Linked DNA regions of Kluyveromyces lactis. The protein of the gene in region 1 interacts with the protein of each later gene in a pairwise test. Links are inferred from orthologs where the notes say so. Each region holds a gene or a part of one and is shown in the gene's direction. Other genes may lie near its edges.

Region 1 (3,810 bases):
TTTTAGTTTGGCGTCAAAAAAAGGCCAATCTAATGAAGACTTGAAAGGGCCTGGCACTAAGAGGTCACTTAGTAGCAGCAGTATCTTCACCACCTTTAGGAAGAATAAGAACAATGACAGCAATGCTGTTAAAAAGAGTGATAATGTGGTCGTGGAACGACATACAGAATCCCAGATCCTTCCAAAGAACAATACACGACCACAGAAGGTCTTCCAAAAGCGTAAGCCAACGCCCCTAAATTTTGTGAAAGATGTGCCTGAATTAACTACAGAGGATAAATTCCCAAGAGATGTTTTTCCAAAGTCACTCGACGTATCAGAGGTTGAGTCAATTGTCTCTCTTGAAAGGTCCAGATCTATGAAATCAAATCAACGAAACTCAATGTCTTCTCTACGTACCAGATCATTGAGTGATCACATTTCACTCAATGCCAAAATGGAAGGAATGTTCATTACCGAAGCTACAAGAACATCTTTCGCAACCCCGGATTTAACGAAATCTCCGGTGAGCAGTATTCTGCGCAGCGGAAAGTTTGAAACTACGTCTGATGAAAAAATATCCGCCAGTTCTGATTTGGACAATAGTCATGGTACTCGAAGTGCAAGTTTCACAATTTCACCACAACAGAGAGATTTTTCTTTTGGTTCCATAGAGCAAAAGTTAAACGAGCTGACAATGGAATCTGATCAAGAAGATCAACTAGAAAAACCATTGGTGCAGAATAAGGCAACTAAATCTAGTCTTGAAGATTCAGATAATGAAGACAACGAATTAATCTCAGATATCATGGAATTTGCAAGTATAATAGACTTTGGACAAGATATCGAGTTAAATTTTGATCTCTATTCTGACAATCGTTCACACTATGAAACTCTAAATCCGGTCAAAGAATCTGTGAAAAACTCTCTATCCAAGCCCAGCTTCAATACTGAGACAGAAAACTCATTTCTTGTGGAACTTACTAACTCCCCAGAAATTAAGACAAACAGTTCAGTACTCAACCAAAAACAGACTGGTTTGGATGATCAGAAACACATATCAAGTACTATAAAAACAAGAGACACATCACCAGAAAATGTTAGCAGTAGCAACCAAAACACTTTTTCTGATAGCAGTTTATATTTTGATAATTATGATGAGGAAGATTTTGAGAACGAAGATTTTAATGGCATACATGCAGTAAAAGAATCCCCAAAGATCAACGCATTTTTACCAGATATCACAACATCGATGAGCAGGCCTATATCGATGTCTTTTAGGGGTTTGAAAGCGCCACAATTCAACAGTACCATGGAACTTTCAGGGCTTACGGGACTTGAACATATCTCAGATCAGATGTCGAAGAAATCGGAAGAAAGATCTAGCTATGCAGCAAAACTTGTTAAGTTTTCCTCTCAAATAGTCCTTTATGAGACCTATGGTGAACTTGAGTATGATAGGCATCCTGATTCGGCAACATGCAATCAACTTACTCCTCAATTGGCCCAAATGATAAAGGACGAGCTGAATGAGCTTAAAGCAGAAATGGACATTCACGAAGATTCTATGTGCAACACTCACTTCTTTTAGTAGACCTATAAATACATGTAATCATAGTAGTTAAATCATTTACCATGCGTTTCTATGTTTCCCTTTATATGGATTCAAATCGTGCACGTAGCTTTCGTGTTGAGCCCGCTTTGAAAGCTTTGGTAATATTACCCTACTATTTGAAAATAATTCTAACTTGTCTTCAACATCTCCCAAATTTTGAAAATTGTTTCACTCATTATGAAAATGATAAAAAAAGAGCTGCTTTATGCGATGAGCTAACAGTAATACCAAACTAGCTTAAATATGGCCTGTAAGATAATAAGAGTGTTTGATAACAGTAAGGTTTGTCTATATGCATCGTTATAAAATGAAGCCTTTTAAAAATTTCCCCCAGACTGTTATACCCGGTGATCTTATATGTCCAATATTTGATGTTGATGATGATAACAAGCAAGAAGTGGTAATACGCTTCCTAACGGGCACTGGCTGTAAACAGGAGAATTTTAGAGTTAACGGCAAGAACGTTGATATTATCGTAGCCACATTAAAAGGTTCTGTATCTGTGGAAGAAGTTCCAGCAGATATTATCGAAGACGACGATCAAGAAGACTCAGAGAATACGACGTTTGTAGAATCTCATGAGACCACCGGAGGGGATGCAAGCTCTGGCAATAGTAGAGTTATAAAAAGTTTCAAAGTATCAGTATCAAATCCTAGCAAGTTTGCTAGCAAGTATGTTGATGACCAGTTTGTCAATAACCTTCCGCAAGAGGGCGATATCGTACTGGCGAGGGTGACCAGAATCAGTTTGCAAAGAATAACAGTTGAGATTTTAGCAGTTGAGAATTCGCCCTTGCCGATCGACTCTGGTGTCGGAAGCAATGGGACTGGCATAATTGCTGCTGCTGGTGGATCTGGTGCGTCTACGTTTTCCGTTTCGCAAGTGTCCGCGGATTTGGGAGAAACTTTTAGGGGCATAATTAGATCCCAAGATGTAAGGGCCACTGATAGAGATAGAGTAAAAGTTATGGAAAGTTTTAAACCTGGGGATATAATACGTGCTCAAGTGCTCTCACTTGGCGATGGTACCCATTACTATTTAACTACAGCAAGGAATGACTTGGGCGTGGTGTTCGCTAAGTCTTCTAACGGAGCTGGAGAACAGATGTATGCAATTGATTGGCAGACAATGATTTCACCAAAGACCGGAGTCGCTGAGAAACGAAAATGTGCAAAGCCCTTCTAATATAGTCGGAACACAACAAGCTTTTTGTTCAAGTCTATAGGTACCTTCACATACATACATTTACAACTTTCATTTACATTTACATTAGTTTCGTATTAGGCTTCACGCATATTGGGAATATTGAGGAAGTTTCTACTAAGATCATTGTGAATTCAACGCCTGAATATCATATGTTATTATCAGAAAAGTTAGTTGGACTTTTAGTTGATTGGGAATTTCAACTCATCGTGGTCACCTCTTAAATCATATTCACTCAGTCCAACTTTTTTTCCGAACTTCTCAAATCTTTGTAGATAATGCTTTCTCTTCTTCTCTGCAATTTGAGTTAGGACAGGCCAATAGGCTTCATGATTATATTTGAAGTCGAGGTTACCACCATAAAGCGTCTCGAGTTGATCAGGTGGCACATAATTTGGAAATGGTTCATCAAAAACCAATTTTTCACGAGTCAACGGATCAATAAAAGGATGGATGAGCTTCAAAAAGGTCCACGCAAGCCACGGGATATTAGTTAATAATGCTTTCCCTAATCTTTCTGGATAATGTGTTTGTAAAATGTGTAAAACCTCTTTACCGGTCCCTAAAGGAGGAATCTTTGAGTTACCTTGAACCTTTGGAACATCAGGATAATCTTTGAAATCTATCAACAAAGCCAATGAATCTTGCCCAGGAGGCATGAAATCAATAACACGTTCAAGCATATATACAAGGTGCTGGACTTGTCTATGGGAGGTTGCTGTGTTTTGCCTACCAGGCTTTAAGTACAATATAGGCCTTGAATCGTTATCGAAACCCAAAACAACTTCCTTCCCAGTCAGAGCCTCCGGTGATACAGTGTCAGCAGTTACAAATCACCATTTTCTTCTCCAAAACTACTTATTCCAAATTCTCTTCTCCAAGCAAGAGAGAGTACAATTCTATCGATACAATCTTGCGTATTCCACTTGGTGGCCCTTAAATATCTCATAAAACATTCTCTACTCAACCAAGCTTTTTCCAAATCAGTCAATGGTTTCATCTCATTGTCACT
Region 2 (3,618 bases), about 850 kb from region 1:
CCATCAACTCATCATAAGAGAGCTCGGTGGCTTCCTCCTTATTCTCCATGATTTAATTAAAATAGTTCCACTTTGGTGGATCCTAGTGAAAAGTAGGCAAAACTTTCAAACCAACTGCGCTCCTTGACGATTTAGGTGTTCTCTTCATCGGTTTCCCATCTTACTTATAATCATCTTTGATTCTCCGAGAAACCTTTAAGTGACTTTATATTTAAATTGTACTTTTTCAACATAATGCCATGATTTTGGCATTACATACCAACCTTGGGGAACCACATTTCGAACAATAAAATCATATCTGAAGATCATAACGACTGCTTGCTTGCTTGAAGCCCGCCATTTTACTAACAGGAAATGCATAGAAAAGTAATCTTATTATTAACAGTCTCTTTACTACTTCGAATTGGATTCTTTTCTTACGGTATTTTCCAAGACTCGCATTTTGACGTTAAATATACTGATATCGATTACTTTGTCTTTCATGATGCAGCTGGTTACGTTAACAATGGACAATCCCCTTATTTGCGTGATACATACAGGTACACACCTTTATTGAGCTTCTTGTTACTACCCAATTATTATCTAAAGTGGATTCATATGGGGAAAGTCTTCTTTGTTTTATTTGATCTCATTACAGGTGTGATGATCATAAAACTATTACAAGGTTCATGTCAATTGACAAAACAGCTAATTCTAGCTTCTATTTGGTTATTGAACCCGATTGTTATAACGATAAGTACTCGAGGAAACGCTGAATCGGTTTTATGTTTTTTGATCATATGTGCTTTATACTTTTTGAAAAGAGACAGGTTACTTATTTCAGGACTTTTCTATGGGTTATCGATTCATTTCAAGATCTATCCGATAATCTATGCGCTACCGATCGGAATATATCTCTTGTTGTCGAGTCACAATAGAAACTGCATTTGGCGATTGTTCATGATAGGGATATCGACGCTAATCGGCATAACTGCGCCGACGTATTTCATGTACAAGCTTTACGGGAGCGAATTTATCGAACACTCGTACATGTACCATCTCACGAGAACAGACCACAGACACAATTTTTCGATTTGGAACCTGGTCTTACTCTTAGAATCTGCTGGTATTCATCTTTCCCAATCTATCGAACTATCTAAGCTGGCATTCGTTCCTCAATTGACACTATGTGCAGTACTACCTTATCTATTGTGGAAATCACAGACGTTCGAAAATTTAATGAATGTCCTATTCGTACAAACATACGCATTCGTTACTTTCAATAAAGTATGCACTTCTCAATATTTCATTTGGTATTTGGTATTATCCCCATTTTATTTCGCAAATACAACCATTACATGGAGAAAAGGTGTGGTCTGTATATTTTTATGGATATTGTCTCAAGCCGTATGGCTTTCACAAGCATATCTACTTGAATTCAAAGGCCAAAATGTATTTTTCCCCAACTTATTCTTTGGCAATATAGTGTTTTTCCTCATCAACGTCTATCTACTCGGTGTCTTTATCACTGACATCAAATCCAGAACGTCATTCCAAGACAATCAACATAAGAAGAATATATAATTTTAACTTAGCATATACTGTAGCGTACTGTGACATTTTCAAAGCCACGATCGAAGTCCTGACGAGTATTTTGATGTTCCATTCCGTTCATCCAATTTCATATCCGTTGTCAGATTCACTCGCTGCTGTTTTCTTCATACTGATTATTGAAATAGAATTTGAAAAAAAAAAAGTATTCAAGTTTTGAATCTTACAAGTGAAATATGAGCTCATCGACATCTACTAGAAGAAGTACATTCAAAGCAGAGGCTGTCAGATTGAAATTAGCCCCTCCAGCTAGCGTGTAGGAAAACCCACTTTAACTAACAGAGTAACATAATGTCACGTTTTGAAATATATTCTCCAGAGGGATTGCGTGTCGATGGTCGTCGTTGGAATGAGCTAAGAAGTTTCAACTGTTCCATCAACACTCACCCGAATGCTGCAGATGGATCCTCGTACTTGGAACAAGGTAACAATAAGATTATCACATTAGTTGCTGGTCCTCAAGAACCATCCTCGAGGTCACAAGTCAATACGAAACAAGCTACTTTATCCGTTACTATTAACTTAACGAAGTTTGCCAAGATGGAAAGAAGCAAATCAAGCCATAAGAATGAAAGAAGAACCTTAGAATGGCAAGCTTCGTTAGTGCGTACATTTGAAAAGAACTTGATGCTTCATCTCTATCCTCGTACGTCAATTGACGTTCAAGTTCATGCTCTACAGTTAGATGGTGGGATTCTTGGGGCAATGCTTAATGGAATAACATTGGCTCTGATAGATGCTGGTATCGCAATGTATGATTTTGTAAGCGGGGTTTCAGTGGGACTTTATGATACTACACCACTACTAGACCTTAACTCGCTTGAGGAAAATGCAATGAGCAGTGTTACCATAGGCACAATTGGTAAATCAGAAAAATTATCTTTATTAATGGTGGAAGATAAAGTGCCTTTGGATAGACTTGAGAGTGTCATGGCCATCGGAATAGCAGGCACTCACAGAATTAGAGATTTAATGGATAAGGAGCTTAGAAAGCATGGAAAAACAAGAGTTGAAAACTCTTCGAATTGATTTTTAAACCATTAATTATAAACTTCACATAACATGTAAACATAAATGCATTCTACAATTCGGATCTTGCCTTTAACTACAATTTTTTACCTATAGATGAGAATAACCCCTTAGATTTTTCTCTCATGCTGCTAGAAAACATCTTCTTCTTCAAATGTGTAACATTTTGGTTCACCGTATTTGCGACGCTGTTCTTTTTACTCAAAATATCCGCTTGAGCATAAGCATCTTGAACATGTTTATTGACTTTGTAGTCTTTGAAGATAAAATCCTTATCAGATGTGGTAGAAGACTTCAAAGCATATTGGATCCAGCTCTGGAGTCCGGAGTCATATTCTTTTAATTGTTCCTTGTAATTGTTTAATTTTTTTAGTTTTTGGGAGTGAAGCTCATTACTGCTTAAAAGCTTGACCAAGTCTAGATTCGGGACAGTTGACTGGTGAACCACTGATGGAATTTCATCTCCTTCAGAACTGAATGCTTCTTTTAATTTTGATTCACCTTTTGGAGCTTCACCGTTCACGTGTTTGAATATAGTATCGTTACTAGAAACGTAGTCAGTAGATTCATTGGTAATTTGTATGTTCGTAGGGAGAGCCGGAGCAGATGCATTATTGGCAATCAGAGCAGGAACGTTATATATGGTTTGATTGTCATAAATTGTTTTAGTGTCAGCAATCGTCTTGAGGTCGTCATCATCTGATGCAACGTCATGTGGAAAAGCATTAAATTGACTTTCTCCGTCTGATGCTACCGATGAATTGCGTTGAATATTGGATGTTGTGTTTTTGTTCACTTCAACAATTTCCCCGTCCTCATTTACGGTGTATCCTTCGGGAGGATTGTTGATATCGATGGTCTCAGTAACAAAACCAGATCGGAATGCATCGGTGTCTGGTTTCCACTTGCCTAGATTGATTGACTCCCTGGTTGAGAATGCTAATTTCTGTGGGCCGTCTTCCTCGTCTTCAGAGCTGTCAGAATATCCTCCGACGTCAT
Region 3 (3,295 bases), about 390 kb from region 1:
TTGGCCATCAAAACCAACGATAAACACATCGTCACCACACGCACATACCCTATCTGGTTTGGGATGTACCATAGCACATCTCTAGCGGTGACAGCGGACATTTGAAACTATTTCACGAGATTATTCTTGTTAACTCGTCGAGGCTCTTAATTTAAGTAGTTTCCAGAAACAATCTGCACAACTTCGCAATAGTAACACCAAAAATAAGAATTACCACTTGTACTTAGATCCTACGCGTCAATTGCAGCTAGAAGTGGCGCCGTACCGACTGGTTTTGTCGTCTCTTTTTCTCTTTTGCATCAGCCATCGGTAAGTTGCTTTGATTCGTTTGGAAGTTATCATTAAATGATTCTGATATTGATCACGTGACTTATACACAGTAGGATATTCCTCTACATCAACTATATACTGGAGGTAAACACGCTCTCTGTAACATCCTCCGTTGGTATGAGATATATCCACAGTTGTCCTATGGAGATCTCCCCCAGCGCTGTCCGTGATCAAAGAGATCCATTGTGCGTTCATACACGAAAAGACTGATTGCTGTCGTTGGAACAGATTTACATAGTCCCATTGTAAGTCCTCGGTACAACGCTGATACACCCTCCTGTCTTAGTATCTTGTAAATAATTGCAGTGGATGATTTATACCTGTACTCGTGGTAAACAGCAGGGAATTTGGTGAAATGAACTGTTCTCTTAGAGTTCATCACTTGCATTCTGCGACGTAAAGTGTCAATGGGGAACACCATCGTCTTGGATACAAACCCTGCGATGATCCCTGAACTAGCACTTACAGGTCGCGACCAGAATTCTTTCTCGTGGTTTTCACAGACTATATTCACGGTCTCATATGTGAGAAACATGATAGCCGTGGATAAAGTAACCGTTGTCATCGCAGTGGATATTCCAGTGAAAAAACCTCGTACACCTTCATTGAGCCACATTTGTCGGCACTCCTCTGCGACACTGGTCCGATGGCTCGTTCTGTTTGCTATAAGTCTTGTCCGAAGCAAATCTAGCGGGTAAGATACCACTGAACTAGTCATTCCTGCCAACGCTCCGACCGTTAGCGTTTGTCCCTGCTGTGAAAACCGAGGGAACTTCGCAGACCAAACGTTGTTGAACCACGAGTAAGATCCGAATTGTACTGCACCGTAAACAACGTACATCGCCGTCGCCGGGATGTTTCCTTTCCATAACGCTCGAAGTCCTTCTTCTTTCATTATAGTTCTCACAGTAGATGCAATTCCCTTATATTTGTCCTCTTGTACCGGTTGTAACTGATATCGTATTTTTACAGTATCCATTGGTGCAGTTGCCATCCTAGCAAATACCCCAGAAACAGAACCAGCAATCACTGAATTGTACCATGATACCGTTTCACCTTTCCTGAGATGGTCTTTCCTTATGCCAGTGTTCATTCTCTCTTCGTCATTAAATAAATCCCTCTCTCTTGATGGATTGAAGATTCACTGAATGCTGGTCTCTCGCTCCCTTCTCAGAACTTAAATGAAGCCAGACCTACACACAATCTCCTTATTTATAAATTACCACATACATGCCCTGCTAAAAGGGTCTCTGGCACATCAATTGCATTGCATCTCCAACCTCTTAGTTTCATATCTATTCATTGCGTATCCTAAAAGTGAAAAATTTCTGAATTTGAAGCTCATCTCATCTCATCCTGACATAACATTCAAAAGATGGGGAAAGAGGGACTGTAGTGGCTCATTACCGTCTATACCGACTGCGTATTGATTGTTATATTGTACCTATAGTAATTTTCTAGCCAAGATGGAGACTACGACGCATGTTTTGGGCCATGTTGATGGCTCTTCTGTTGTTTCAAACAGCGGAACTAAAGTTATCTGTTCTGTTTCGGGACCCATGGAACCTAAGTCTAGGCAAGAGTTGCCCACACAACTTGCATTAGAGATCATCGTGAAGCCTGCTGAAGGCGTACAGAGTACGAGGGAAAAGTTAATGGAAGATCAGATCCGTTCTGTGTTGACCCCAGTGCTTGCGAGATACTTGCATCCACGTCAATTTGTGCAGATATGTCTCCAAGTATTAGAAGCGGGAGAAAGCAGGGATTATACTGTGAAAGAAGTCAGTGTATGTGTTAACGCAGCGGTGCTCGCATTGGTGGATGCTGGTGTACCGTTACTCAGTATGTGTTCTGGTACTTGTATTGGTATTACCACTGAAGGGAAGCAGCTGGTGGTGAACCCAACAGAATCGCAGCTAGCTAAATGTGAATCGGTCCACGTATACTGTCTAGAGCTGGGCACGAATGAGAACGGGGATATAGATGTCAGGAACCTGCTTCTTCTTGATAGTTTAGGCAGCTTTGACGAGTCACAGTTGTTTAAAGTGTTAGAAACAGGTGAGAAAGAGTGTATACGGTTATACACAGAGTTGAGATCAGTGATCAAGGATAAAGTCGCCAAAGATTTCGTCTGGAGACAGTAGTGGGTATACCTGCACCCATGGTTCTTTATAAATTAACTTTATAATTAACGTTATCATCTTTATATACAATTTATATATATTTGCATTTATATAATTCGCATTAGCAGCGGCAGAGAGAGTAATCTAATCTATTGGACAAATAACAAAACAATTCTACAACTTCAATGCTTCCAAGTTAGCGATGGTAGCTTCCAAGGTTTCGATTTCAGCGGCAGCGTGCTCTGATCTTTCTTTGTTGAATTGCTTCACTTGGTCATTGGCCTTTTGTTCATAATCGCTGCTGTTGACAATCTTATCAATGGCAGATTTAGACTTCAAAGTCTTGTCTAGCTTCTTTTGGACCTTGGAGATTTCTGCATCGATATCGACGTGACCCTTCACAAGCACATGCACGTTAACTTCTGGGTTGACAGATTGTAGCACACAACCTTGTGGGATATCAGCAGCAGATTTCACAACGGAAACTTCATCGATTGCCTTAATCAAAGAGACGATAGAATCTTTTTGAGATTGGACAGTGGAGTAGTATGATTCATTAGCAGATTCAACAAACACCTTACCGTTTTTCAAGATGTTATATTGTGCCAACAAGGAACGAGCATCCTTTGTGACGTTTAAGATTAGCTCGTATTCCTTAGCAGCGCTTGGATTGTGGAATTCTTCCTTGAAAGTTGGGTATGAGCTCTTAACGATAGTTGGAGAAGTTTCGCTGGCGTATCTTGGTAGATGTTGCCACATTTCTTCAGAGATGAAAGGCATGAATGGATGGATCATTTTCAATGCATTGTCGATCAAGATATATAAGGTATCCTTAGCAGACT
Region 4 (3,424 bases), on another chromosome or scaffold:
CGATGCGAAAAAAGTCTATCAGGTTCACGTTAACATTTCATTTCATTTTGATATGATCGACATATATACTGTGCCATGGCATGAAAATGTTAAGAACACTTTTGGAGAAAAACATACAGAGAGTCGTTTTGACAGCAATTATTCGGTTGGAAAAGTGGGAACTGCCTGGGTTAATGATTGGTCTCCATCTATAAAGCATCAGGTTCAATTCAAATCGAAACAATTCTTTTTTTCCCTTTAAGGTTGTTTCTCAGTGCTTCATACGTGTTGTCAATATCTTTTTGTGTTCTTATTCGGCCAGACAAAATTTTTTTTTTGGGTCTAATCCACAGCTTTCGCTTCAGTAATTAGATTGTGGTCTTTTCGTTTGTTATTATACCCAGTTCATTTCGTTCCAGCTAGTAATTTTTTTGTTCTTTTTGTTTAAATGGTGATATCGTTGATATATGTCCTTTTACTGATATGTTCAGTTGTCTCGGAGACCCTTAAACTGCCGATAAACCCAAATCGATTAGAATTCGATTTGTGGCCATATAAAAAATGGGAAGTTGACGGCTCGAGTGACGCGTCTAGTTATCAAACTTGTTTCGAAATGAATACGAATATTAAGGCCAAGGATTTACAATTCCTCATTGAAATTGAAGAATTTACTAAATGGAAAGTTAATGTGGATAGGTTTGGTCCAACTACGAGTTCAAAGGGAAAACAGGTTGTCAACATGGATATTTATGACGAAGACCAAAATTTGGTACAGTCAAGACATGGTTTAGAGAATGGGGAAACTGTGCTTTACGTGAGCGTATACGAACATCAGAATTTCCAAATATGCCTTATCAACTTTTCATTAGACTCCTCATGGAATGCCATAGATAGTGTGAAGCAAGTAGCAATTAGCATCACGTCTAATGATCTGATTCAGAAACAGAAGTGGGATTTGATTACTGATGATGATCTCAATTTGTTATCCCAGGGTAGAGATGACCTGTTTTCGTTGGTCAGTGCGGATTCTGGCCAGGAATTGCATGCTTTAGATGTCGATCATAGAAATCTCAACGAATCAACGTTCTCTTATCTACTGGCAAAAGTCACAATATTATTCTGCATCATTGGAGTATGTCATTTGCTGGTATTTCCAATCTTACTGTATAGAATCGTTAGCAAAGGGCAACCGACCAAGAACAAAAATAAAATCAAAAGATAAGGAATAATTATGTCCATAAAACAGTTGATGTATTTGTATATATATTAAACATCAGCACCCTGTATCAGTACAACTTCAATATCAGTCAGTCAGCATTCATCGTATGTTAGTACTTCGAACCGTGACTGACACCTGACAGAACATCTCACTAATGGCCAATTATATCCGGGTAACACCGAATATTAATGTGCATTAGCGAAAAGAAGAAATGAAAAATCTGAACTAATTTCAGTATTGACTTATATGAGCTTGAGATGAGATGCAATGAGATGATGAGAAAAGGCTTATTTCCCTTCTATCAACAGCAATAGAAACATCTGAGTTTAAAGCGAGTTATCTTCTCACGAAGCAGACCCATCTCGTTAAAAAAAAAATCAAATAATATAAGAAGATAATGGGACTTTCGTTAACTGAAAAATCGTTCCTATACGATTCTCTAACATTAGATCCCCCATTAAGACCGGATGGAAGAGGTCCACATCAATTTAGACCATTGGAAGTATCTACTGATTTCCTTCCCAATTCTAATGGATCCAGCCGTGTGATATTAAGCGGAGGAAGCGAGTGTATAGTGAGTGTAAAAACTAAAGTCGTGGACCATACGGTAGAACAAGAATTGCTTGTTGCTGATGTCGACATCCAAGGCCACAGAGATGACTCTCCATTGGTTACCAGCATGTCTTCACTATTATCCAAATTGCTCAAACAAACTATTGATCAGAAAAAGCTAATGCTCACGAAAAGGTACAGTTTCAAACTTTACATTGACGTTTTGGTGCTTGCCTCCAAATCATACCCGATCTCAATGATATCTTTCGCCATTTTCAGCGCTTTGAAAAACACATGGCTACCGAAACTAATATCGAACGACGATGACTTAGAAGTGGAGGAGCTACCCACATTCCATGATTACGATATGGTTAAGCTAGAGGCAGATGCTCCTTTATTGTTTACGTTCGCAATTGTAGGAGACGGTGTTTTTGTGGATCCAACTTTTGAAGAGAGCATAGTATCGAACAATGGCCTTCTAATTACGTGGTACAAAGATAAGGTTACTTCTCCGATAAGATCTGTTGGCTTGAATAACGATAATATCAAAGGGTTCAGTCAGCATCATTTAGAACAAGCGTTCAAGTTAATTCGTCAATACGCACCACATATTGAAAAAGCTTTGGATGCTTCAGATTAAGGAACATTTAAATAGTAAATAGGTACTTTTCAGGGTGTTTATTATAAATGCATATCTATAAATGCTGGATCGAGTACGAATGAACGATAACAGCTGTTGCAGTTTGGATATTCATGGATCTTATTACCCCAGATTGTTTGATTTCTAAGCATAAATCCAACTCCTTTAACAAATGCCCTGGAATACCATGAGCTTCTGTTCCTAGTAAAATGACAGATTTTGATGGAAATTTAAATTCAGAATTCAGTTGAATGGAAGAATCAGTCTGCTCCAATCCAATTAACGTATATCCTTCCAACTTCTTTGCATTCATGTAAGATATTATACCATCGACAGGAACTTCTTCAATAGGCATCCAGCGGTCCGCTGTAACCGCAACATTTTTGAATTGAGGATGCTGTTTGACTCTAATATCATGAATTGTCATAGTACCGACACCCAACACGTCACAGAGTCTACAAATACCTCCGAGATTGGGTGCTTTATCCACTAATGAAGCTACGACAATTAATTCAGATCGTGCAACAGACTCAATGGATTTTTGATTATCGAAATCCAAGACAGCTTCCCAAGCACCACTCTTCGTTTGTAGGGGCGAGTTTTTTGCTAACTCAGTTGAATTTACTAGATTACTACTTCTTTTGGTCAACCATAGTTCACTCTCTTCCGATCCTATTTCAAATTCACCGTCATCGATGTTAATGGCTTTGAATATCTTACTATTTATATATGGAACTTTATGATCCATAATTTTCAATAATACGCCGCCAAATATACTTGTTAACTTAAGGTCGTTATTGATGCTCCAAGTGTTTGCGTCACCGGCTCTGAATTGACCTTGTACTTGGATCTTCTTAGCATCGCTGTATAGCTTAGAAATAATGGATCGCAAAATATTATCTTTGATGTCATCTTCAAAGGTTGGCCAAAACAAAAGAATGAGGGAATTAGAGAAATGTCTAATTAATGGTTTGTTTGAGGAGCAATTAGTTATCAGTTGTGCGACAAATCTTTCCATTGGCCTGAAAAAATGA
Region 5 (3,810 bases), on another chromosome or scaffold:
TTGACGTAGCTATTCCAATCTTCTTAGCACCTATACTTTCAACTTTAACCACAATTCGTTTTGCTATACCATTTATTCTTGTAAGGGTAGTTTCTTCGGTATGGAATTGCAATACAGTCGACTTGCCATTTGTCATAATTGCAGACCATAAATCACCAAAATTACCATTCCTGAGCCTATATCCTAAGCTTAGGTTTAAACCTGTAGTCAATGGAAAAGAAGCTGGGACTAATAGGTTTCTGTAAATAGCAGTTTCATGTTCCTTTCTTACGGACTCAACATTTGATTGTGCGTTCAGCGAAATTGTATGTAGATCTCTTTTGGAGTCAATAATAACCGAATTGATAAACCAAACAGTACTAGCGACGATTACCAAGATAGCAACCAAGTATTTTGAGAAGGTGATCCAGTCCACCATCTTTTGGGAGTGAGTTTACCAACAGCTGTTATTTTATGTAATTACGCGCCGTGCATTTTACTTTGCGTAAACTTCTTCAGTAATTTCAAGTTCCGATATGAATCAGTGTATATATATATATATAATATTTCAGATCCATAAACGAGGAAGAATTGTCAGTTAAACAAAAGTGAAATCTCATAACAAAGCAAATTACATGCCCCTTCCTTTTTGTAGCTGTTCGCTGTATTAAGTGTGCAATAGATTCAGAACGACAGCCGCAGCACACAATTGCGTACATTCATCCAATACTTGGTATATTCCACTGACATTTACAACATTTAACGTGAACGAAACGCGTAAAAAGCATTGTTAACTATCCTAATTAACGATCAAACAACAATCCCCAGCTACATTTCCTTAGTGAATATGACTGTTGAGAAGGTAATAAGGAAAGGATGTCTATTGGTAGCTTTGCCAAATTCAGTGGATTCTCCTGTCGAAATATTTGAACTTCCACATCCATCGAATAACGAATCAAAGAAACCTATCAAACTGTTTGTACACGACGATAAAGTATACCAGCTTAAAATCAAAAAGTTCAGTAAAGGCTGTGACTATAATTGCTCGCGAGATTTAGTGAATGATAAATATCATTATACTTCAGATTCGCAAACATTTAAATCCACATTTTTGATCAATGAAGAGAACAGGAAAGATGGACACATACTAGAAGATGGTTCGATACTATATGCCGAAAAATATGACTTAACTTTTAATATATGTGGGTATTATTATAGGAACAACAAAGTTACTAGTGAGGATCTAGCGTTTATTACACCTTGCGTTCCACCCGCACTCGATATGGATACTAACTTTTATACTAGTTCTGATTACCAAGAGAAATTAACGAATAATCACAGTGAAAATTGGGAGAAGATACCTCCAAAATTATGGGAAAGTTGTCTCGGGAAAATATCACATACAGTGGAAGAAGCTGGTGACAAGTATTATCGTATCGAACCTCAAATGATAGTAGAATGGCTACTGAAGAAAGTCATCAAAATCAACAACAACTTCCCTACTTCTCTTAAAATACCAAAATCGCTACCTGAAGATATAGCATCATCTCTGAAATGCATAATGTCGTGTAATCTTCTAGTTTCCTTGATCCCACAACTCGCATACCAGGATCTAATTAGACATGAATCTTCAAATCTTAACATCAAACAATGTTTCGACTCATACGACAAGTACAAGAACGAAACATTACAAACAGAAAGGGAAAGAGAGCTCCTTATCAAAGCTGCTATGTCTACAGCCATTCCAAATGGCACAAAAACCGTAAAGAAACAACCTATTCAAAAGGCTAAAGTTGTGAAACCAAAGGTTGCTAAGGGTAAAGGAAGAATTGACGGATTCTTCAAAACTAACAAAACATAAGTAAGGGCATATAATAATTTCGTAGAAATATCAGTATTGGATAACCTCTATCATTTTGACCTAAAGCTTCACATAACATGCCGTTGTTGAGCTCTAAAATAATTGATCTTCTTCCACTTAATACCTGTCTACAGGGTCTTCCTCCTAGAGAAACTCGCATCAATTTTGTTTTTATTCCTTTTTCATCTTTCTATCATATCAAATGAGACAAAGCTTATGAAAGATTTAGAACTATAACACTTGAAAAGTTAAAGAGTTGCGATGAGCAGCACTGAAAGAGAAAACCATAGCCGAAGAGAGCTTGCATTCGCATATCAAAATAGTTAAATCGATAAGAGGTGATGGCAAAAGATATAGAGATCAGTAATGCTGAATCCAAATTTATCCTGGAAGCGTTAAAGCTTAAACAAAGATTAGATGGACGTTCATATGACCAATTCAGAGATGTGAAGATCGAAATAGGTGAAGCATACGGTGATGTGACTGTTACCATGGGTAACACAAAGGTACACTGTCGTATCAGCTGTGAAATTGCACAACCTTATGAAGATAGACCGTTTGAAGGACTTTTCCATATAAGTACCGAAACTACACCGATGGCAGGTGCTCAGTTTGAGAATGGGAACAATACTGGAGAAGAAGAGGTATTGATCAGTAGGATGATTGAGAAAGCTGTAAGACGATCAGGAGCATTAGATGTAGAAGGTTTATGCATAATAGCTGGCTCCAAATGTTGGTCTCTTAGAGCTGATGTTCACTTTTTAGATTGTGATGGTGGACTAATCGATGCCAGTTGCATTGCTGTAATGGCTGGGTTACTTCATTTTAAGAAGCCCGACGTTACTGTTCTTGGTGAAAGAGTGACGGTACATCCGATTGATGAAAGAGAACCTGTGTCACTAGGTGTTTTGCATGTTCCAATTTGTGTGACGTTTTCATTCTTCAATCCAGACGATACAGAAGAAAATATCAAAGGTGAGGACAATGCAGAAATATCAATCATCGATGCTTCCTTAAAAGAGGAGCTATTGAGAGATGGTGTGCTTACTGTGACGCTTAATAAAAACAGAGAAGTTGTTCAAATCTCCAAAGCAGGTGGTTTGCCGATGGAAGCTTTGTCGTTGATTGATTGTTGTCATAAAGCATACGGAATTGTAGAAAAAATCACTGATCAAATTCATCGTGTTGTGAAACAAGATACCATTGCAAGAAACCAATACGCACACATTTTGAGCTCTGAAAATGCTCGTGAAACTTAAGGAGCATTGTATCGAAGAACTGGAAGCTTTTCTTCAATTATAGATTAATGCTTATGGTTGTACCATATCCCAAGACACTTGGCAGCTAGAAGTCGTTTAATCCATGCCGTTCAGCGCGTTTGATATTGTTCTGTACTATATGTTGTATGTATGAATATACAAATAATGTATCTGTTTGGTGGATATATGAGAGTGTATGCTGTGAATATCTTAGCGATAGTGAATCAAATATAAAGTCTGGTCATGTCTCTTTCTGTTGAGGAAGTCACTGATTCTTCCCGAGCGTTAAACTTTACAATATGTATTAAATTTGGATATCTGTTCAAGTCGTTCTTTTCAAATTCGAATCCGTTTCGTGAATTAAGTTCGGGATACAAATCTCGTTCATCCAACATCATCATGTGTTTGTCAATAGAAATTTGTGTCTCTGGTGCAGAATTCAAGTACCGCTCTTCTGCCGCCAAAATGTTCTTCGAATTAGCCCAGTATGTTACTGTACAGTATATTATGAATAATAGCACGATACTAACAACAACAAATAGAATGTAGTAGCCGCATATGTACAATATTGGATTATTCCGTTGATCCCATAAATGTGACATTATAATCAATTCACCACAAATATGTCCCAAAATCCATCAATTCGAATAAAGCCTTGAGTGTTTGGAAATTCAACTCCAGTGATCAGGAAGAGTTAATACAATCTGGTAT
Region 6 (4,223 bases), on another chromosome or scaffold:
GCTCCGTAACCCTGAAATACCAAAGGAATGAGTAACCGAACGTCCACTCCCTGTCTCGTTGCTTTCCCAAGAGAAGGTTAGTCATTCTGAAGGCTGCATCTTTCAATTTCTGTTGCCTCGAGGGCGAGACATGGAAATGACTCACAGATGGCAACATCTGGTCACGTGGACAGAGTAAAGACAAACGGATGATAAAAGAGATGGACTGAGGGACACTGGGCCAGTGACTTGTTTTGGTGACTGTTTTCTGCAATCATGAGAGTCACTGGTATGTTGCATTCTATTTACATTGCAATTATGTATCAAGATAGTTAGATAAAGGCTAGTGACTGTGGTAGTTGGAAACTAACACAGAACATTGGTTTCGTTGGAGCGACTTTTCTCACTAAGTGGAACTGGAACTGGTTGAACGGAAGCTCTTGCTCAGTGGTCTTCATTATTTGTAGTATTTGTTGGTAGACCCTTTCGTGTAGTTGTTCCATGGATGGTTCTGGTTGTTCTTCCGCATCGTATTTATGGAAACAATGACAATGGATCCATGGGGTTTGGAACTGTTCGCCGTGTTCTTGAACCATCTGTTCGTATGTGAACCCGTACCTTGAATATAATCCGACGAATTCATCAAGGAATTGAAGAGCACTGTCAGGTAAGTTCATCACGTAGTGATCGAAGAACTGGTTTTTGATTGGGATCTTGGTTTCAGGAGTACGTTTAGTTTCTCCCGTGACTTTATCCTTGTACTTCTTACCTCCTGGCACCGTGATGACTCCCTGTACCCTTTCGATGAATTGTTGTAGTAGCTTGGGACTATCTCTGATGAATTCGCGGCCATCGAGGTTCAATGGTTCAACGAAGTTACCCACCTTATTGTCGATGATATTTTGCTGCATGTACTTGTAAGATTCTGGGTTCAAATCGTTACTTAGAACGATGACCTTCTTCTTTCCTGCTGGAACTGAGAATGGCCCCACCCCAGCAAACACATCACCAACTATTTGGCCCGGTTTGAATAGACTCACTAACCTTGCATGTTCTGTATGTAGTCTTGAGTTCCAGTACACTTTACTGAAATCGAAAGTGAATGAACAATCAGATTCCCTTTGAGTCACTAGCAGGTTCGGTTCACCCGCTAGGACGTTCATTTCGAAAGTTCTGAATTTGGTAGCAATGGAATCCACTTTATCGACCACGGTCTTGATCGTCGAATTCTTGTCCAAGATGACTTGTCCAATTATTTCACCAAACGGTTTGAACTCTTTCCTTAAATTCAAATGAGCTACGTGTCCCACAATAGTGAACCCAGTAGGAATCTCAGCAAGGTACTCCTCTGGTAAAATTGCATTTAGAATCTCTTCCACTTTCCAGAAGTCATAATCTAGCACATACTCATGGTTTCTCAACTCATACTCTTGCTCATCAAGAAATTCTAGTGCATTGGAGGTCAACTTCCCTCTCGCCTGCGAAACATCTTGTATACTGTCTTTTAGTATGATACCTTTGGTTATATGGTTGTCATTGGCCAGGGATTTGCTTTTCTTCTGTACTGGCTCGACATCGTTCTTATCAGTATCTTCTTTTGGTGTTTCGCCAAGTCTTATAACGAATGGAATTCTTGGTGTCCTTAATATATCGTCCTTGAACTTCTTGGTGAAGACAGAAATATTCTTTGGATTCTTCAATAGCAATACAACAACAGGAAGCTTCTTTACGAATAATGATTTATCTAATTGTTTCATGCCACGATGCACTGGTGGTTCATATTTGAACGTAGTTTCAATAGCTCTACTCATTGTTCTTCGAAGCACTAGGCCAAACCTCATAAAACTAGTCCTCCTCTATCCTTGAAAAATGGAGCAAAATAGTGTGCTATCACTTCACCAAATAAAACGCTGCCTGACGGTCGATCTTTGCTGCAACATTTTTACATCTTTTACAACGCTCATCTCATCTCATCTCATCGCTCTCTTATTTAATTTGGAAAATTTTCAGTTAACTAACACCAAAAGTAACAAAGGTACAGCGAGGAAGTCAGCACATCGAACGCCTTCTGCAGTCCCTGACATCGTTATATCATTACTTGGAACAATGAGTGATGTTATTAGTGTTATCAATAGGAACGAATTTTGGTCTAATGGCCGTTTAGAACAGGATGAATATGAATCAGATTCCAGCTCAGGTTCAGAGCAAGAACATGACATTGAGATGAGCGGTGCTCACGATTCCAATGGTGGAATAGACCATCAGGATGGGTCTATTGTCACACCTGGTGAATTAATAACCGATGATCCTATATGGATGAAGGGTCATGGTACTTATTTCTTGGAAAACAAGACATACAGTTCTGTGGTTGGCACAGTATCGAGAGTGAATAGATTGCTATCCGTTTTACCATTAAAATCTCGTTATATTCCCGAAACAGGTGACCACATCGTGGGTAGAATCACTGATGTTGGTAATAGAAGGTGGAAAGTGGATATTGGAGCCAAACAGTATGCGGTTTTGATGTTGGGTTCTGTTAATTTACCAGGTGGTGTATTGAGACGTAAGTCAGAGACAGATGAGTTGCAAATGAGAAACTTCTTGAAAGAAGGTGATCTACTAAACGCTGAAGTCCAATCGTTGTTCCAAGACGGTTCAGCTTCATTACATACCAGATCGTTGAAATATGGGAAACTAAGGAATGGTACGTTTGTTCAAGTCCCAAGTTCCCTAATAGTGAGATCTAAAAATCATACACATAATCTTCCAGGGAATGTCACCATTATCTTGGGTGTAAATGGGTTCGTATGGATAAGGAAATCCTCCAAGATGGATCTTTCCGGTAAGACCACTACTACAGGTTCAGGACAATCTGACCATTTACCAGGATCCAACAATGCAATGTCGGTTTCCATTACAAGATTGGAAGAAGAGAGTTCTTGGGAAATATATTCGGATAAAAATGATACTGTTACTGTAAGCGTTAGGCAAACAATCACAAGATATGCAAACGTAATTAAGGCGTTAGCACATTGCGAACTCGGTATCACTGAGCCAAGAATAATATCCGCATATGAGGCTTCAATGGCTTATGGTAACTTGGGACAGTTAATTGAATCGGAGACGATGGAGTCCTTAGGTCAAGACGTCATCAACTCAGAGAAGATGAGGGGAGCAGCATAGGTTGTAATCGGTAATATTAATATTTACATGAAGTAGTATTTTATAAATAAAGTGCATAATATTTACAAATAATAAAATCTTTTCGATAAGAGTACCATCATTTGGATGTCTCAGATGTTGGTTTATTATGGGTAGCTTGTAGCGAGTCTTGCTTCTTTCCATCGTTTGTGAAAGATTCAATTCTGCTCTTAACACTAGCACCAAGATACTTTTCAAAGAAGCCAATTTCTTCTTTCTTCTTACCGTCACCTTTACGCTTGGCAACAATACACCATGTCGTACCGAAATGTGTTCTTCTTTCTTCGACGACATCCAATCCAGAATCGTCAAGGATTTCTCCGATATCCAAGTTCCATCTACAACCCCATGTCTTTAAACGTTTCTCAGCTCTATCGTCAAGAATTTTGTTGATTGTATCGTATGAACCTCTTCCGTGTTCCAAGAGAATGATTCTACCGCCAGGTTTCAACAATTCAGCAAAATTCTTCAAAGATTTTACAGGATCGTGATGTGAACAAAGACCAAACGCTTCAACAATAGTATCATACTTAACAGGTGTCTCCTTCGAGTTCAAGTCGATCAAATCTTCCGCTTTCCCTACAACAAATGCACATTTCTTGAAATTGGGTAGTGCTTCTCTGAATTTTTTATTTGTGATTTCCATCATCTTTTCCGATGCATCCAAGAATGTGATTGAGTTGATCTTCGTTGGGTCTAAATATTTGATATTCCTACCAGTACCACAAGCGACTTCGAGAACATCTCCTTTACAATGTTTCATGAGCCACTTACGTCTTTTACCCATTCTGATCATCATTTCTTCAAAACTCACACCCTCATCGTACTCTTCTGCCTTCATTTCATAGAAATCAGTGGTATCCCTAGCAGGTAGAATTTTCTCGTTAATCTTGTTTTGATCGTTGTTTTCCAAGGTAATCTTATCCAAATTCTCAGTCCCATCTTTCTCTATAATCTTTTGGTATTGTTTCAATTTCTCCACATCTCTTGTTCTTAACGTATTTTTTAGTTCCTTATAGCGCAACAACTCATATTCATTTGCT

What was found.
Region 2: the proteins of CSL4 (region 1) and SKI6 interact in binary tests that used the Saccharomyces cerevisiae proteins (3 or more experiments, as listed by UniProt). The link is inferred for Kluyveromyces lactis from reciprocal best matches to the Saccharomyces cerevisiae genes CSL4 and SKI6.
Region 3: the proteins of CSL4 (region 1) and RRP46 interact in binary tests that used the Saccharomyces cerevisiae proteins (3 or more experiments, as listed by UniProt). The link is inferred for Kluyveromyces lactis from reciprocal best matches to the Saccharomyces cerevisiae genes CSL4 and RRP46.
Region 4: the proteins of CSL4 (region 1) and RRP42 interact in binary tests that used the Saccharomyces cerevisiae proteins (3 or more experiments, as listed by UniProt). The link is inferred for Kluyveromyces lactis from reciprocal best matches to the Saccharomyces cerevisiae genes CSL4 and RRP42.
Region 5: the proteins of CSL4 (region 1) and RRP45 interact in binary tests that used the Saccharomyces cerevisiae proteins (3 or more experiments, as listed by UniProt). The link is inferred for Kluyveromyces lactis from reciprocal best matches to the Saccharomyces cerevisiae genes CSL4 and RRP45.
Region 6: the proteins of CSL4 (region 1) and RRP4 interact in binary tests that used the Saccharomyces cerevisiae proteins (3 or more experiments, as listed by UniProt). The link is inferred for Kluyveromyces lactis from reciprocal best matches to the Saccharomyces cerevisiae genes CSL4 and RRP4.

The regions. Positions count from the first base shown.
Region 1 is NC_006040.1:1,659,089-1,662,898, reverse strand, and holds CSL4 (exosome non-catalytic core subunit CSL4), read left to right. Parts: upstream 1-1,886; coding exon 1,887-2,780; downstream 2,781-3,810. Other genes in the region: BNI4 (Bni4p), read left to right, coding at 1-1,570.
Region 2 is NC_006040.1:812,774-816,391, reverse strand, and holds SKI6 (exosome non-catalytic core subunit SKI6), read left to right. Parts: upstream 1-1,881; coding exon 1,882-2,619; downstream 2,620-3,618. Other genes in the region: KLLA0_D09669g (uncharacterized protein), read right to left, coding at 1-49; GPI14 (glycosylphosphatidylinositol-alpha 1,4 mannosyltransferase I), read left to right, coding at 355-1,563; FYV8 (Fyv8p), read right to left, coding at 2,696-3,618. UniProt on the Saccharomyces cerevisiae protein: Non-catalytic component of the RNA exosome complex which has 3'->5' exoribonuclease activity and participates in a multitude of cellular RNA processing and degradation events.
Region 3 is NC_006040.1:1,265,931-1,269,225, reverse strand, and holds RRP46 (exosome non-catalytic core subunit RRP46), read left to right. Parts: upstream 1-1,796; coding exon 1,797-2,474; downstream 2,475-3,295. Other genes in the region: PIS1 (CDP-diacylglycerol--inositol 3-phosphatidyltransferase), read right to left, coding at 1-101; thiamine transporter TPC1, read right to left, coding at 470-1,423; VAS1 (valine--tRNA ligase), read right to left, coding at 2,628-3,295. UniProt on the Saccharomyces cerevisiae protein: Non-catalytic component of the RNA exosome complex which has 3'->5' exoribonuclease activity and participates in a multitude of cellular RNA processing and degradation events.
Region 4 is NC_006041.1:823,310-826,733, reverse strand, and holds RRP42 (exosome non-catalytic core subunit RRP42), read left to right. Parts: upstream 1-1,595; coding exon 1,596-2,390; downstream 2,391-3,424. Other genes in the region: RRT6 (Rrt6p), read left to right, coding at 428-1,201; TRM3 (tRNA (guanosine(18)-2'-O)-methyltransferase), read right to left, coding at 2,446-3,424. UniProt on the Saccharomyces cerevisiae protein: Non-catalytic component of the RNA exosome complex which has 3'->5' exoribonuclease activity and participates in a multitude of cellular RNA processing and degradation events.
Region 5 is NC_006039.1:951,876-955,685, forward strand, and holds RRP45 (exosome non-catalytic core subunit RRP45), read left to right. Parts: upstream 1-2,181; coding exon 2,182-3,099; downstream 3,100-3,810. Other genes in the region: DDE1 (Dde1p), read right to left, coding at 1-418; RNH202 (Rnh202p), read left to right, coding at 827-1,840; KLLA0_C11121g (uncharacterized protein), read right to left, coding at 3,324-3,701. UniProt on the Saccharomyces cerevisiae protein: Non-catalytic component of the RNA exosome complex which has 3'->5' exoribonuclease activity and participates in a multitude of cellular RNA processing and degradation events.
Region 6 is NC_006041.1:1,129,324-1,133,546, reverse strand, and holds RRP4 (exosome non-catalytic core subunit RRP4), read left to right. Parts: upstream 1-1,848; coding exon 1,849-3,162; downstream 3,163-4,223. Other genes in the region: TRM5 (tRNA (guanine) methyltransferase), read right to left, coding at 312-1,820; OMS1 (putative RNA methyltransferase), read right to left, coding at 3,260-4,223. UniProt on the Saccharomyces cerevisiae protein: Non-catalytic component of the RNA exosome complex which has 3'->5' exoribonuclease activity and participates in a multitude of cellular RNA processing and degradation events.